Linked DNA regions of Stegostoma tigrinum. The protein of the gene in region 1 interacts with the protein of each later gene in a pairwise test. Links are inferred from orthologs where the notes say so. Each region holds a gene or a part of one and is shown on either strand. Other genes may lie near its edges.

Region 1 (6,868 bases):
TTAATGCCACACTTGGGTCAAATGCAGCCTTGAAGCCAAAGACAGTCACTCTCACCTCACCTGTAGAATTCAGCTCTTTTATCTACGTTTGAACCAAAGCAGTAATGAGGTCAGGCGGTGAACGGTCCTGTTGGAACTCAAACTGACTGTCAAATAGCAGGTTATTGCTAAGCAAGTGCTGCTTGAGTGCACTGTTGATGACACCTTCCATCACTTTATTGAGAGTAGACTGATGGAGTGCTAATTGTATTTGTCATGTTTTTCATTCTTACATCATTGACGTTGGATGTATTTGTTAAGTCTTCTCTAGTGAGTTGTTCACCACCATTCAAGCCTGGGTTTAGCAGGACTGCAGATTTGATCTGTTGGTAGTGGAATTGCTTAGCTCTGTCTATCACTTGCTGTTTATACAGTTTGGTGAGAAAGTAGTTTGTAGCTTCTTCAGGTTGATATCTCATTTTTAGGTTTGACTGGCACCAGTCCTAGCATGCTGTCCTGCAATCTCCATTAAAATTTGGAGCATAAAATTATGTGGAGCAATTATGTCAATTATGCAATGTATCCCTGAAAAATACAAGGAAATATAGTAATATCTCTGAATCTCTACAGTGTGGAAGCAGGCTATTTGGCCCATCGAGTCCACACCACCCTCCAAATAGGATCTCACCCACACTTCAGATCCTGCTTTTCCCATGGCTAATTGCCCCAACCAGATATCCCTGGACACTATGGGTAATTTAGCATGGCCACTCCACCTAACCTGCACATCTTTGGACTGCGGGAGGAAACCAAAGCACCTAGAGGAAACCCATGCAGACATGGGAGAATGTGCAAACTCCACACATACAGATGGATTAGATAGTGCAGACTACATCAAAGTATTTCATTTTAATCAATTTGCACTTGAATGGGGGAGAACTCAGAACTAAACTCGGAGACAAAACAAACTTGGGCTATTATTCGTCTGTCAATTTCTACTATCCTATTGTATAAACATTAGCATGCCAAAACTTCTTGCACATTTGATATTACTTTGTCTCCTACTTTAACAAAATTGGCAACTCATCCATTTCTCACAAATGAATGATGGTATTAAATGTCTGACGTAAAATACATATATCCTAATGCTGTACAGATTAGTTTTGGGCTTTAAGATTCAAATTTTCCATTTTCTGTGTTTTTCTTCTTTATTCTTCCCTGGGATGCAAGCATCACTGCCAAGGTCAGCATTTGTTGCCCATTCCTAATTGTATGCCAGGCCATTTCAGAAGGCACTAAAGAGTCTTGCTTTGGTCTGGAGTTTCATGCAGACTAGACTAGTTAAAGATGGCAGATTTGCTTCCCTAAAGGGCTTTAGTGAATCAAACATATTTTTAAAACAATCAATGATAGGTACATTACTGAGACTAGTGGATTTTTTTCAGCATTCCAAATTTTTGTATTGAACTTAAATTCCACCAGTTGCTGCCTCTGGATTACTGATGCAATAATATCACCACCGTGTCACCATCTTGTCCCGTGGGAGATTCTACAGAATTATTCAATGTCAACAAAAAGAACATTTATAGTTTTTTTACAGACCAATTTTGTACAAGTTTCACTGATGAGTTCTTGAAATTAACTGCTTTGGTTAAATGTGACATACTTTCTCCTTACAGGTAAACACAGTTCTATGCTTTCAAAGTTGTTTCTCAATCTACCTTGCAAATTATATGAGATAACAAGGTGTGGAGCTGGATGAACACAGAAGGCAAAGCAGCACCTTAGGAGCACGAAAGCTTTTGCATTTCAAGGCGAGTGGCATAATTAGATTGAAATGGAAATGTGCTGAGGGGACAGGATTGGAAGAAACAGTGACTTTGGCTACAACTGTGGCATTGTTCTAAAACTATTTACTTTGCTCAGGGCAAAGCCACTATTTTTTGCTCTTTAGCTTTCTAAAAGCAGAGTTGTCATGTAGTTCTGTGTGCTGAACAAATCAACAGTAGGGGACAAAAATTGGTGGCTTTGCCCTGAGCAAAGAAGATAGTAAATAGTTTTAAAACAATGCCACAATTGTAGCCAAAGTCATTGTTCCTCCCAATCCTACCCCCTCGCACATTTCCATTTCAATCTAATTATGCAACTGGCCTTGAAATGCAAAAGTTTGCAATAATTTTGTGAGATCATGAACTCCTGCCTACAGCAGAATTCCACCCATCCTGAAGAAGCAGCAATGTTGGGTAGTTGGTAGGAATATCTCTGACAGTGGTGGAAGCTGTGGTGGTTACACCATATTTGTGACAGCCTGGTACACAGACACACAGTAATGTATTCCTCCAGATCAGCAGGGTTTTGCGATTATGTCCTTATTTAGCCACTGCTGTTTAAAGACACTGCAGTCCACACAGAGTGGGGACAAAAATGGGAATAACTGTAACATTGGGATATTTCTAATCTTTGAATTGTCAGCATTTTTGCTTGTCTCAGCTGCTTTGTTTTTAATTCACAAATTTCACTAGAAATATTAATCATGTAGGTTGTAATAAAGTGAAGTGTGACCTCTGGAATTCTGAGCGGGAAACTGAATGAAACATGCTGTCTGCAGACAAATTGCTCAATTAAACCAATTGCTCTGTTTATAAGACTAGCACATGGGTGGAGTGAGAGTCAAGCAAAACACTAAGTTCTGTTTAAAACAGAGAGAGCGCCTTGAATTTTACAGGTCAATTAGTCTAACATCAGTTTGATAAAACTAATAGACACCATGATTGGTGGGCAAAGCAGGATATGGAGCATTCTATTAATGATATTATTGATTGGAGTTGGGTATTTGTTTTGGGGATATTTAAGTTTAATTGGTCATCTGCTATGGCTAGAGCAGCACGGTGGCTCAGTGGTTAACACTGCAGCAGGGACCCAGGTTTGAGTCCAGCCTCAGGCGACTGTCTGTGTGGAGTCTGTACGTTCTCCCAGTGCTCCAGTTTATTCCCATAGGCCAAAGATGTGCAGGCTAGGTGGATTGGCCATTAAATTGCCTGTAGTGTTGAGGGGTGTGTGGGTTATAAGGGGATGGGTCTGGGTGGGATGCTTCAAGGGGCGATGTGGATTTGTTGGGCCGAAGGGCCTGTTTCCATGCTGTAGGGAATCTATATAAAACAGATATTTCTGATGACTTTAATACCGATGTCATTTCTCAAAGGCATTTCCAGAACCTAAATTTTGCATAGCAATGGCTATCTCAATTCTTAAATTCTCAAATCCAAATCAATGTCCCTGAATAAAGATCTTTTACTCATAATTCAATTGTCTGAGTTTATAAGTGTCTCATATTGCCAACCTCTTCATCTCACTCAAAAATTCTGCATTGTTCCTGCAATATAGAGACTAAAAATGAACATGGCAGTCAAAATGCAACCTCACTGACCCAAATACAGATTGAGCATCCCCCAAATTTGATTTCTAAATCCCAACGTTTTGGGTTCCTTTTGACTAGCTACAAACAAACACAATGATTTTACTGAGCATTTTCCTATCCTCCACATTATGCAACAATCTGTGTTAAAAGTACAGACACTTGAGCTGCTGTTTAACATCTGCCAATGACAGCCGTGATCCGAACAACAGCAGCGACAATGAACTTCACTAACGTGCAATCTTGAATTTTTTTTTGTCTCTTTGCTAACCTTGGAGTACTGCAGAATCAACTTTGATCCACTTAACAGCAAGGTCTGACCACCAGTCACTGACAACCCAAACTGCAGGCTGTCCAAAGGCAAATGATGACGTCACTCCCTGACAGCCAGTTGTCTTGGGGGGATGGAGAAAGGATTGGCCGCTGGGATTGTGGGATGTCATGATTGGTCGGCGGCAATGGACCGTCCCAGCCGTGGCTGCGCTGGCTGATGGGAGCAGGAAAATATGGCGGATGTACCGGAGCCGTGAGTATCTCTGCGTGAACTCCGGCCGCTCAGGCCTCTCTCGCATTGACTTCTGCTCGTTCTTCTCTCGGGTGAGCATGTCTGAACCTTCTTTTATTCTCTCTTTTTTTTAGGGAGAAGAAAAGAAGGAAAGTAGAAGAGCACACTGACAAGTTAGTGTTGAATGAATTTAGCGGCCCTGATTTTCTGCTTGCGAGGTCTGAGGCTGGAGGCTTGTTATGAGCTGCAGCTCCGAGCAGTGGGATCAGTGCGGCCTCAACCTGCATCCTTATTCGTCCTAAACTCGGGAATTAACTGCTTGGAGGAATAGGAATATATTTTTTAAAGGAGGAGGAAATCTGTTGGGATTGCAATAAGTGTTAAAACATTAAATAGCCTTATTAAACATTTATTCATTGGCGTGAATTAAATTGACGTGACATGAACTAAATTGACGTGACATGAACTAAATTGACAGCTAAAAACTCCCAGTTGTGTTTTGCATCATTTGTATAGGAGACCTGATTAACGCATAACCAGTTTTAATTGGGGTAAATCTGTATTTCAGTCGTTGTCTAACTCGCTAAAGTTGTGATTAAATGTTATGTTTACATTTTTAGAAGTCGATTCTATGTGTTGCTTCTCAGCACCAAATAATCTCCTCTTCTATAATATGCAGCATTTTTTGAAATTTCTGACCCTTGTAATATTACTGAAATGTAAGAAAGAAATATTATAGGTCCTAACTGAATACCCGTATAAAAATGGTTCAAGGTAACAATCCCATGTCTTTTCAATTCGATTAGAAAGTCCCTAATTTTGATATAGTACTGTATGTATTTTGGCTCCTTTTCAATCCTGCTCCTTTATGTTATACTGGGCGCCCATGACAAATGTTTTGCTTGCATACTCATCTTTGATTGTAGCTTGTAAAGTTACAATCAGTAGTTTGTTTTTCTATTTTCTTTCCCTTGTCTATGCTACAGCACATTAGAACTATCCCTTGTTAGGAGGTTGTGGGGAATTGCAAATTCAGTGAAAATAATTTACACTTTAATTTTAGCTGGTGTCAGTGCTGCTTGTAAAATTTAACAACTATTCCAAGAAAGGATGTTTGCACCAGTTTTAATTGGGGTAAATCTGTATTTCGGTCGTTGTGTAACTCGCTAAAGTTATGATTAAATGTTATGTTTACGTTTTGGTGTTGAGATTGCTGAAAATTCCCCATCTGAGAGATTCTTTGTCTGATTTGAGGCCTTGTAATACTAAAGTAAAATTAGAGTTGTTTGAGGCTCATTCAGTCTCCATCTTTAAAGAAATGTAAATACTACTTTTGAGAATGTCTAAGACAAGTAGTTCTCTTAAATAATATTTCTAATAATTATGCTGTGTTGTGAAAACTAAATCTCTAGTTGAGTTTATTGTGTTCTGTGCAGAATGGCTGTTGATGGTGGGTATGGGGACACTGGAGACTGGGAAGGTCGCTGGAATCACGTGAGGAAGTTCCTTGAGCGTTCAGGACCGCTCTCACACCCTGACTTTGAACCAAGTACTGAAGTGAGAAACGTTGTTATAAATCTAAGTTTGGTACTTGATAGCAGCTGTGAATTTCTTTTTGCTTTTGCTAAATGTTTATGTCACAGTGAGAACAAACAACGTCGGATATCAGTAAGTCACGCAATAGCTGCTTAAATTAGGAAACCTACCACTGATGCAAAACCTCAATATTCTGTTTTGCTGTTTTTGTTTGCTGACACAAAACAACAGCTTTGAGCAAACTCTCGAGTTGCAACATCTATAAACAGTATTTCCTTATCTTTGTGGTGAAATGTAGATAGCTTGTCTGGTTTGTCAAAATCCTGCTAATGGGTTAAGTTTAAAATTCCCCTGTTTGTGGCTACAAATTGAAAGCAATCGATTTAGGTCTAAAATCTTAGTCTGTTACATTTTAGTCAGTTTCTATTTTTAATGTAAACACACGAATTTTCATGCAAAAGTTTGGAAAATGGAATTTGCTGCCATACCACAGTAATTGAAACACTGACTTTAGTGCATTTCAAGGGTCATGAGATGAGCACACAATGGAGAAAGCAATAGAATGATTGAGTAAAATGAAGAATCTAGCTGCAATTACAACTTGTTACCAGATTAACGTTGTGATGTCTTAATTTTGTACATCCCAGTTACTTTGCCTTACTGTGCAAGATCAGCTGCTTTGTAGATTTCCAAATTGCCATAGCTTGTTCCATTTAATTGGAAATATAAATACATTAATGGAAGCATTATGGACAATTAGGGACAGAACGTATGTATTTTTCAAGCAATATCCTCCACACAAATTCCATTTTGTACCGTGTGCCTTTGTTTTATCAGTGATTTGACTTCAGAGCAAATTTTCAAAGGCCTTTTTAAAATCTTAATATACCAGATCTGCTGTTTCTGTCAATAGACTGCAGTCTTTGTAGCTACTTGTAATTGGCAGTTGGGAAATGCTCATAGCTCCTGGTCATGTAGCACAGAAGAGGTCTCTGGCCTATCAAGTCGGCACCGAATCCCACTTTCCAGCATTTGACTTATAGCCTTGAATGTTAGGACCTTTCAATTGCACATTGATGTACTTTTGAAAAGTTGAGATTTTCCGAAGGTTGCAGGAACAGCAACTCATATTCCGCTTGGGAACCCTGCAGCCCAATGGTATCGATGTGGACTTCACCAGCTTCAAAATCTCCCCTTCCCCCACTGCATCCCAAAACCAGCCCAGTTCGTCCCCTCCCCCCGCTGCACCACACAACTAGCCCAGCTCTTCCCCTTCACCCACTGCATCCCAAAACCAGTCCACCCTGTCTCTGCCTCCCTAACCTGTTCTTCCTCTCACCCATCCCTTCCTCCCACCCCAAGCCGCACTTCCATCTCCTACCTACTAACCTCATCCCTCCTCCTTGACCTGTCTGTCTTCCCTGGACTGACCT
Region 2 (7,076 bases), on another chromosome or scaffold:
CTGATGCAGGACGATATTTACATACAGTTGAGGCACCAAGATGGTCTGATAGCTGAACAGATCCCCATTGTGCTTTGGCAGAAAGACCTCACATGGTGGTCTTTCTCCACTGCACCCTGGAGGTAGCTGCCCCAAGCTTTAGTGTGTCCCTCAGCACACAGTCCTGGACCTTAGAACGTGCCAATCTGCAACACTGTCGAGGTCAGCTCTTTATCCTGGAAGACCAACAAGTTTCAGACAGACCAAAGAGCATCATCCACTGAGTTGATGGTCTTCCAAGCACAATTGATGATTGAACCTTTCCACTACCTCTTCAAAAACTCAGTAAGTTTGTTAAATATGAGTTGTCCTTTAGAAATCTGTCCTCACTCTTACTAATCAGCCCACCTTATACTATGTGATTACTAATTCTATCCCGATAATTGTTCCCAAAGGTTTCCCCACTGGCAAAGTTAATTTAACCGTCCATAATTGCAGAGTTTATCCTTGCAACCTTTCTTGAACAAGGTTGTAAGGTTTCAATTCTCCAGACTTCTGGCATCTCCCCCTCTTCTAGGAAAGACTGAATGGTTATGGCCAATGTAATTTATACCCTCACTTGCCTCAAAATCCTTGAATACATTTAATTTGGCCTTGGTGCTTTGTCAATCCTAAGTGCTAATAATCTATCCAAGACTTCTATCTTATTAATTTTGTATCTTAATGACAAAGTTTTCTCCTCTATCTCCGTGGCTTGGGCAGCATCCTCCTGCTCTGTAAATATTAATTTAACACCTCTGCCTCCGTGCATAAATTTCCTTTATAGGTCTAATGAACCCCACCTCTCGGTACCAGTTTCAGGTTTTTTTTTCTCTCAGGTTTCCAGCTTCTGCATTATTTTGGTTTTGTTTTGGAGCTGCCCCATTGATTCACCAACCACTAACTGGCCTTTGGGTCCGATCACTCTGTTATGGGATAACCCAATCTAGATTTTAACACATGCCTAAAGATTGGTAACTTTTTAAATCCTTCCTCAATCCTATTTAATTTGAATTTCTGAAGTCTATGCAGGACACCTTGCTTTTGCAAGACTTGACAGTGTTTTGTATATTTGACAGACTCTAGGCTGTGAGAGTGTTGCATCATGGGGGTTGGGCTAAGGATTGTGGAGGATTTAGAGCCAAACAAAATTCATTACTGACAGCATCCATTATCACCATTGTATCAGAAAGGGAAGCCTGTTGATCGTTGAGCTTCTGTCTTTACTGTATAATTGCTGATCTGTTATTAATTCACATGGTAGCACTTTTTCTATTCTTCAGTGTTTCTTTCATGATTCATTCCTATGATGTGGGTGTTGCTAGCTGGACCAGCATTTATTGCCCAACCCTAATTGTTCTGAAGTAGCTGGCTCTACCAGTCTCCCAGGCTGTGAGTTCCAGATTCCCACCACCAACTGGGTGAAAAAAATCTTTCCTCACATCCTTTCTTAATGTCCTGCTCCTTACCTTAAATTTATGCCACCAGTCATTGATTCCTCCCCCCCCCGCCAAAGAAAAAACTTTCTCCCTTTCTGCCCTATCAATGCTTTTCATCATTTTACATTCTCAATCATGCCCCCCACTCAGTCCCCTCTGCTCCAAGGAAAACAACCCCAGTCTTTCCAATCTCTCTTTATAACTTGGTATGCTCTGTCCAAGAGTATAAGAAATTACAGAGAATTGTGAACACAGCACAGTCCATCCAGCCTTCCATCCATTAACTCTGTCTATCCATCCCACTGTCTCAGGAAAGCAACCATCATAACCAAAGATTCCTCCCACCCCAGTTATACTCTCTTTCACCCTCTTCGATTGTGGAGAAGATACAAAAGTTTGAAAACATGTACCAACAGATTTAAGAACAGCTTATTCCCTGCTGTTATCAGACTTACGAACAGAGCTCTCATATTAAAGTTAATCTTTCTCTGTAGAGGTAACACTATTCTATATTCTGTTCTATTACCATTATGTACATATGTAAAGTACCATTTGTCTGCTTAGCACTCAAAACAATACTTTTCCCTGTGTCTCGGTACAAGTGAGAAGAAATCAAATCAAATCAAATCAAATAAATTAACGTAATTCTACCATAACTGAATAACAAAATCGACTTGTTGGGCTGAATGGCCTACTTTGCTCCTTTGTGATCAAGATGGTGGCAGCGGAGTAGCCTACTTCCAGGCTCCTGAGCCCAGGTCTTGTCCACTCTGTCTACTTTCCATTTTTTTCCCCTACTTTTCTCATTTTCTTTCTTCTTTTTAGCTTTTGTTTCTACGTACCTTCTGGGGAGAGCTCAGTCATGGCAGCATCAGCAAGAACAGCATTGATGAGAAAGGGAGCTACTTTGGGGCCCAGGCTGTGGAGGCAGCTGGTGAATGTGGAATGGGACCCTGGCGGATGGCGGCGAGGAGGCAGCTGGCAGACGGGCAAGCATGGGACCCGGCCATTGCCTGCTACATTGGCAGATGCAGCGGAGAAATGTGGCACCTGAGGAGCGGTGACTTCAACGTTGGTTGGGAATGGTACTGGCAGCAGCAAAGCAGTGGCAGAAGGGTTAGGGTCTCTCTGTAAGTCATATCTTTTAAAGTTTTTAATAGTCTTAAACTGTTCAAAATGGCACCGGATCATGGCAACAGTGGAAGCTATTCACTGTATCTTTCACTGTAAACACACATGACAATAAAACCATTCATTCATTCATATGTCTTATCATCTGATATGTTATTCTCATTGTACATCACATTGTTAAATTTTCCAAACATTGTAAATTGTCCCAAGATGCTTCAAAGGAGAGTAAACAGACCAGGTTTGTCGATGAGAAATGTCTCAGGAGATGCAGGAGGAAATGACCAGAACTTGTGGATAAAAAGCATTTTAAAGGATGAGACAGAGTTGGAGAGATAGAAAGGTTTTGGACTGATGTTATGGTCTAGGCAACTGACATTTTCGCTCCCAGCTCCCTAATTAAAATCGGGGCAGTGCCAGAGGTCAAAGTTGTCATTGCCTGGCATTTTGTGGCCCAAATTTTATTTGCTGTTTCCTAGCCCAAGCCTAGATTTTGCCCAGGTCTTGATGTATTTGAACCTGGACTGCTCCATTTTCTAAGAAGTCATGAATGGTACTGAAACATTGTGCAATTATCAGTAAACAATTCCACTTTCAATCTTAGAATGGAACGATTTTTATTTATGCAGTAAGTTCCCTTCCCACTCCCCATTCCTGAAGAAATGTCCTGACTGGAAGTATCAACTTTCCTGCTCCTCTGATGCTGCCTGGCCAGCTATGTTCCTCCATCTCCACACTGTAACCTTTATCTTTCTGCTTTAAGTGATAGTTTATTTACAGTGACTAATTAGGGATGGAATGTTAGTGACTGGCATCTATTTAGAAACCTACCACCTCAATGAGTTTTGCAACATAAAAGCCAATAAATTGAAGAGCTCAGTCAACTTTGATCTTTCAGAATTGAAGTTAATTAGAATGTGCAAGCAAATTACAAAGAGTGCTATTTGGAAATATTTGAGAGGGAGCAAACAGGACAGCCAAAGTTGCTCGCTGGGATATAGACTAGAGATCAGCGAAGAGACTGGTTTGTGAGATATAGGGAGGGAATTGAGAGAGAATTGTTCATTGTGGCTGAGTGTAAGGGGTAGAAGGGGTGTAGGGGATAGGGTTAGGATTAGCCTGTTAGGGGTGGTAAAGGCAGAAACCGTCGTAACATTTAAGAAATATTCGGACATAGTCTTGCAAATATATGGACCAGTGCTGAAAAATGGGATTTAAATCCCAAAAACAGAAGTTGCTTGGATAAGCTCAGCAGGTCTGGCAGCATCTGTGAGGAAAAAAAAATCAAGAGTTAAGGTTTCGTGTCCGGTGACCCTTTAGATACATGCCTGTTTTTGACCTATGCAGATTCAATGGGCTATTGGGTCTTTTTTCTGTGCGGTGGATCTGAGTGAGTGAGTAGGCTCACAGCTAGTACATTCACTAGAGAGCGACGGAGAGACTGGAGTGTGAGATATAGGCAAAGAATTGTTAATTGTGGTGAGGCGGCTGTAGCTGGGATTCACACTAGAGTGCAGTAGAGAGAGTGGTGTGCATATTATATCTATATATAGTGAGAGAGAGGAGTCAGCCGTTCTGAAAGCTGCCCGAGCGAAGGGGAAGGCAATGGCCGGCTCGGGCGAGAGGAACAGACAGCAGACGATTGAAGAGTACCTGGAAGCGGCCGTACAGGTGGCTCTGGAAGCCGGCCAGGTGAATGACAGGCTGGGGGAGTAACTCAATTAATGTAACCGGAGCTGATCCAGGCATGAGATGTCTTTATAATGGCACTTTATGGCCGGAGAGGCCGCTGCTGATAAAACAAAAGTGGGTTTGATAGTTTCATTGAAGTGAGTATTGGATTTTTAACCCAGCGAAACAGGATCTAGTGCTGTATAATCATCTGGTAGGCCAAGGAAGTGGGGGATGGGGAGTTGATTAAAGAAAATGTAATTGTTATTAATAGGCAAAGACATTTCCAATTCAGTTGCTGTATGAGGGAGCCCAGTTTTAATGTTTCTCCTCTAAGCCATGACTGCACGGATTGTCAGACCCATAGCCAGCCTGGGAATGAGTGGGCAGGCGATTCAAACATTTAAAAAAACGTTAAGGAGGTACAGCTTTCTTGGTTGTAAGCCCCGCAACAAAAACCGTGAAAGCTGCTTCCGCTACCAGTCATCTCAAACGTGCTGAGAAATCCCCAGTCACTGTCAGAATGAATGTCAGAGAGACCTTGAAATTAACCTGCAGCCCCCCCTGCAGTTCATGTTCCAGATTTCAACCTCCTGCACAAACCCCACCAGCATGGTACGGTTATTGAAGTCTGTAGGAAGATTCGACTCCCCATGGTGGGATTTTCACTCTTCCTGAAGAGCATTGGAGGGCGGGGGGGTGGGGATGAGGAAATTACAAGGATATCTGAGGGGTCACGGCTAGAAGGATCGGCCTCGCCATTTTACAAAAGCTTAAGGGTGTTTTTTTAATGATGGGGGTTTGCTATGCAGGGCCATGCCTACTCGTGTGGAAATGCCCCTAACTGTTAGAAATAGCAAGTGGTTACCTTTAACTTGTGTGGGGAATTCATGGGAACGGCTGCAGCGTGAATCTGCTCTCACAAGGAGTGGCCTATGTAAATATCCAGGGGCAAGGTACGTGGCGGAGGGAAGAAGACAGAAGTGTCGTAGGAATGGAGAGGGTGCAAGAGAAATAAGACCAGGCAGAAGGCTCGTGTGAAACACACATTTTCTGGATTAACACTGGATTTGCCCCTTCTCATTTCCACTTCCTCCTGTAATCCTGTGCGGTTTACTTCGCAATCTTCTCATTTAATTGGTTTAGGAGGAGCACTACTGCTTCCAACTGTTCTCTCAGGTCCCAGATCCCCAGCTCTTTTCAGCCAATAGAAGTGGGGAGGTGGTATGTTTTGTGATAATGGGAACTGCGGGTGCTGAAGAATCCAAGATAACAAGATGTTGCTGGGCCTGTTGTGTTCATCCAGCTTCACACTTTGTTATCTTAGGTGCTATGATTTGAAGGATTGTTAATCCAGAAAACTCAGCTGGTGTTCTGGGTACCTGTGTTTGAATCCTGCCACAGCAGATGGTGGAATTTGAATTCAATTAAAAATCTAGAATTAAGAGTCTAGTGATGACCGTGAATCCAATGTCAGTTGGAAAACCCACCTGGTTCTTTAGGAAACTGCTACCCTTTATGTGGCCTACATGTGACTCCTAAACCACAACCAAAGCCACTGTAGCTTCAGTCTTAAGTAACAGGAAACAACTGTTTACAATATGTGTTAATGACTTGGAGGAAGGAAGTGAAAGTTCTGTAACCAAATGTAACCTTCTGGACATTTAGGGATGGGCGATGAAAGCTGGCTCAGCCAGTGATGCCCATACCCCATGAATGCATTTTTAAAAAAAACTGAAAGGGCTGCAGATTCTGAATATCAGAAACAAAAACAGAAATTGCTGGAAAAGCTCAGCAGGTCTGAAGCTTTAAGAAAACTTTAAGAATCCTATATATTTCAATAAGGTCGCATCTCATTCTTCTACATTTCAAGGAGTAGAACCCCAACCTGTGGAGAGAAATCAAAGTTAACTATTCCGGTCCAGTGACCCTTCCTGAGAAAACTGGAGTAGTTGTATTCAGTATCAAATCAGGATGAAAGCGAGTCCGAGGGAGGAAAGCAATTCTATTAAGACAGGAGGAAAGTGATAGAAAGAAAAGGTAATTCTTATTAAAAGTTTAGTGTTCCATTTAAAGAAACACAACAACAGCGAAAACCTATGTCACATGTGTAGCTTATTCAATGCAGAGAGGTTGGCTGGTAATAATTAAGGTGTCACACCATTAAAATTGTAGATGTTCATTTTAGCCTGAGGCCTAAACTTTGGGACGACAGTTGTTTATCCACTGTACACATACAGCAATCTTATGCTGTTCATTGCCTCTCAAGCTCAAGTCAGATAGTGAGTTGAAAACAGAAGGAATTGCAGAAACTTGGCAGTTCTGGAAACATCTGTGCAGTGAGAGAATGGAGTTCATATTTTGAGACCAGTATCACTTCAGAGAGTGAGTTTTTTTTGTGACACAAATGAGAGGCACATCTCAGACAACCTTAGTGAATTGGATCTGCCCACATCCAAAGCCACCAGTGCTTCAGCCATAAGTAACAGCAAGCAACTGTTTACAATATATATTAATAACTTGGAGGAAGGAAGTGAAGGTATTGTCATCAAATTTGTAGATGATGCAGAAATATGTGGAAAGACAAGTTATGAGAGGGATACAAACACTTTATAAAGAGATATTGATAAGTGGGCAAAAAGTTGGTGAATGGATTATAAGGGTGGAAAGTGCAAGCTTGTTCATTTTGTAAAAGAGAACAGTATTACTTAAATGGAAAAACTGCAGAAAACTGCATCACAAAGGGACTTGGGAGGACTTGTGTACAAAACTCAGAAAGCTAACACACAAGATCATAAACAGGAGCAGGAGTAGACCATC

What was found. The genes of interacting proteins can lie anywhere in the genome.
Region 2: the proteins of uba3 (region 1) and impa2 interact in binary tests that used the Homo sapiens proteins (3 or more experiments, as listed by UniProt). The two-hybrid records come from large-scale screens. The link is inferred for Stegostoma tigrinum from reciprocal best matches to the Homo sapiens genes UBA3 and IMPA2.

The regions. Positions count from the first base shown.
Region 1 is NC_081364.1:43,406,305-43,413,172, forward strand, and holds the start of uba3 (NEDD8-activating enzyme E1 catalytic subunit), read left to right. Parts: upstream 1-3,847; 5' UTR 3,848-3,900; coding exon 3,901-3,920; exon of another isoform or gene 3,921-3,991; intron 3,992-4,033; coding exon 4,034-4,072; intron 4,073-5,335; coding exon 5,336-5,456; intron 5,457-6,868. UniProt on the Homo sapiens protein: Catalytic subunit of the dimeric UBA3-NAE1 E1 enzyme. E1 activates NEDD8 by first adenylating its C-terminal glycine residue with ATP, thereafter linking this residue to the side chain of the catalytic cysteine, yielding a NEDD8-UBA3 thioester and free AMP.
Region 2 is NC_081358.1:117,128,305-117,135,380, forward strand, and holds the start of impa2 (inositol monophosphatase 2), read left to right. Parts: upstream 1-4,066; 5' UTR 4,067-4,190; coding exon 4,191-4,277; intron 4,278-7,076. UniProt on the Homo sapiens protein: Phosphatase that can use myo-inositol monophosphates, myo-inositol 1,4-diphosphate, scyllo-inositol-1,4-diphosphate, glucose-1-phosphate, beta-glycerophosphate and 2'-AMP as substrates in vitro.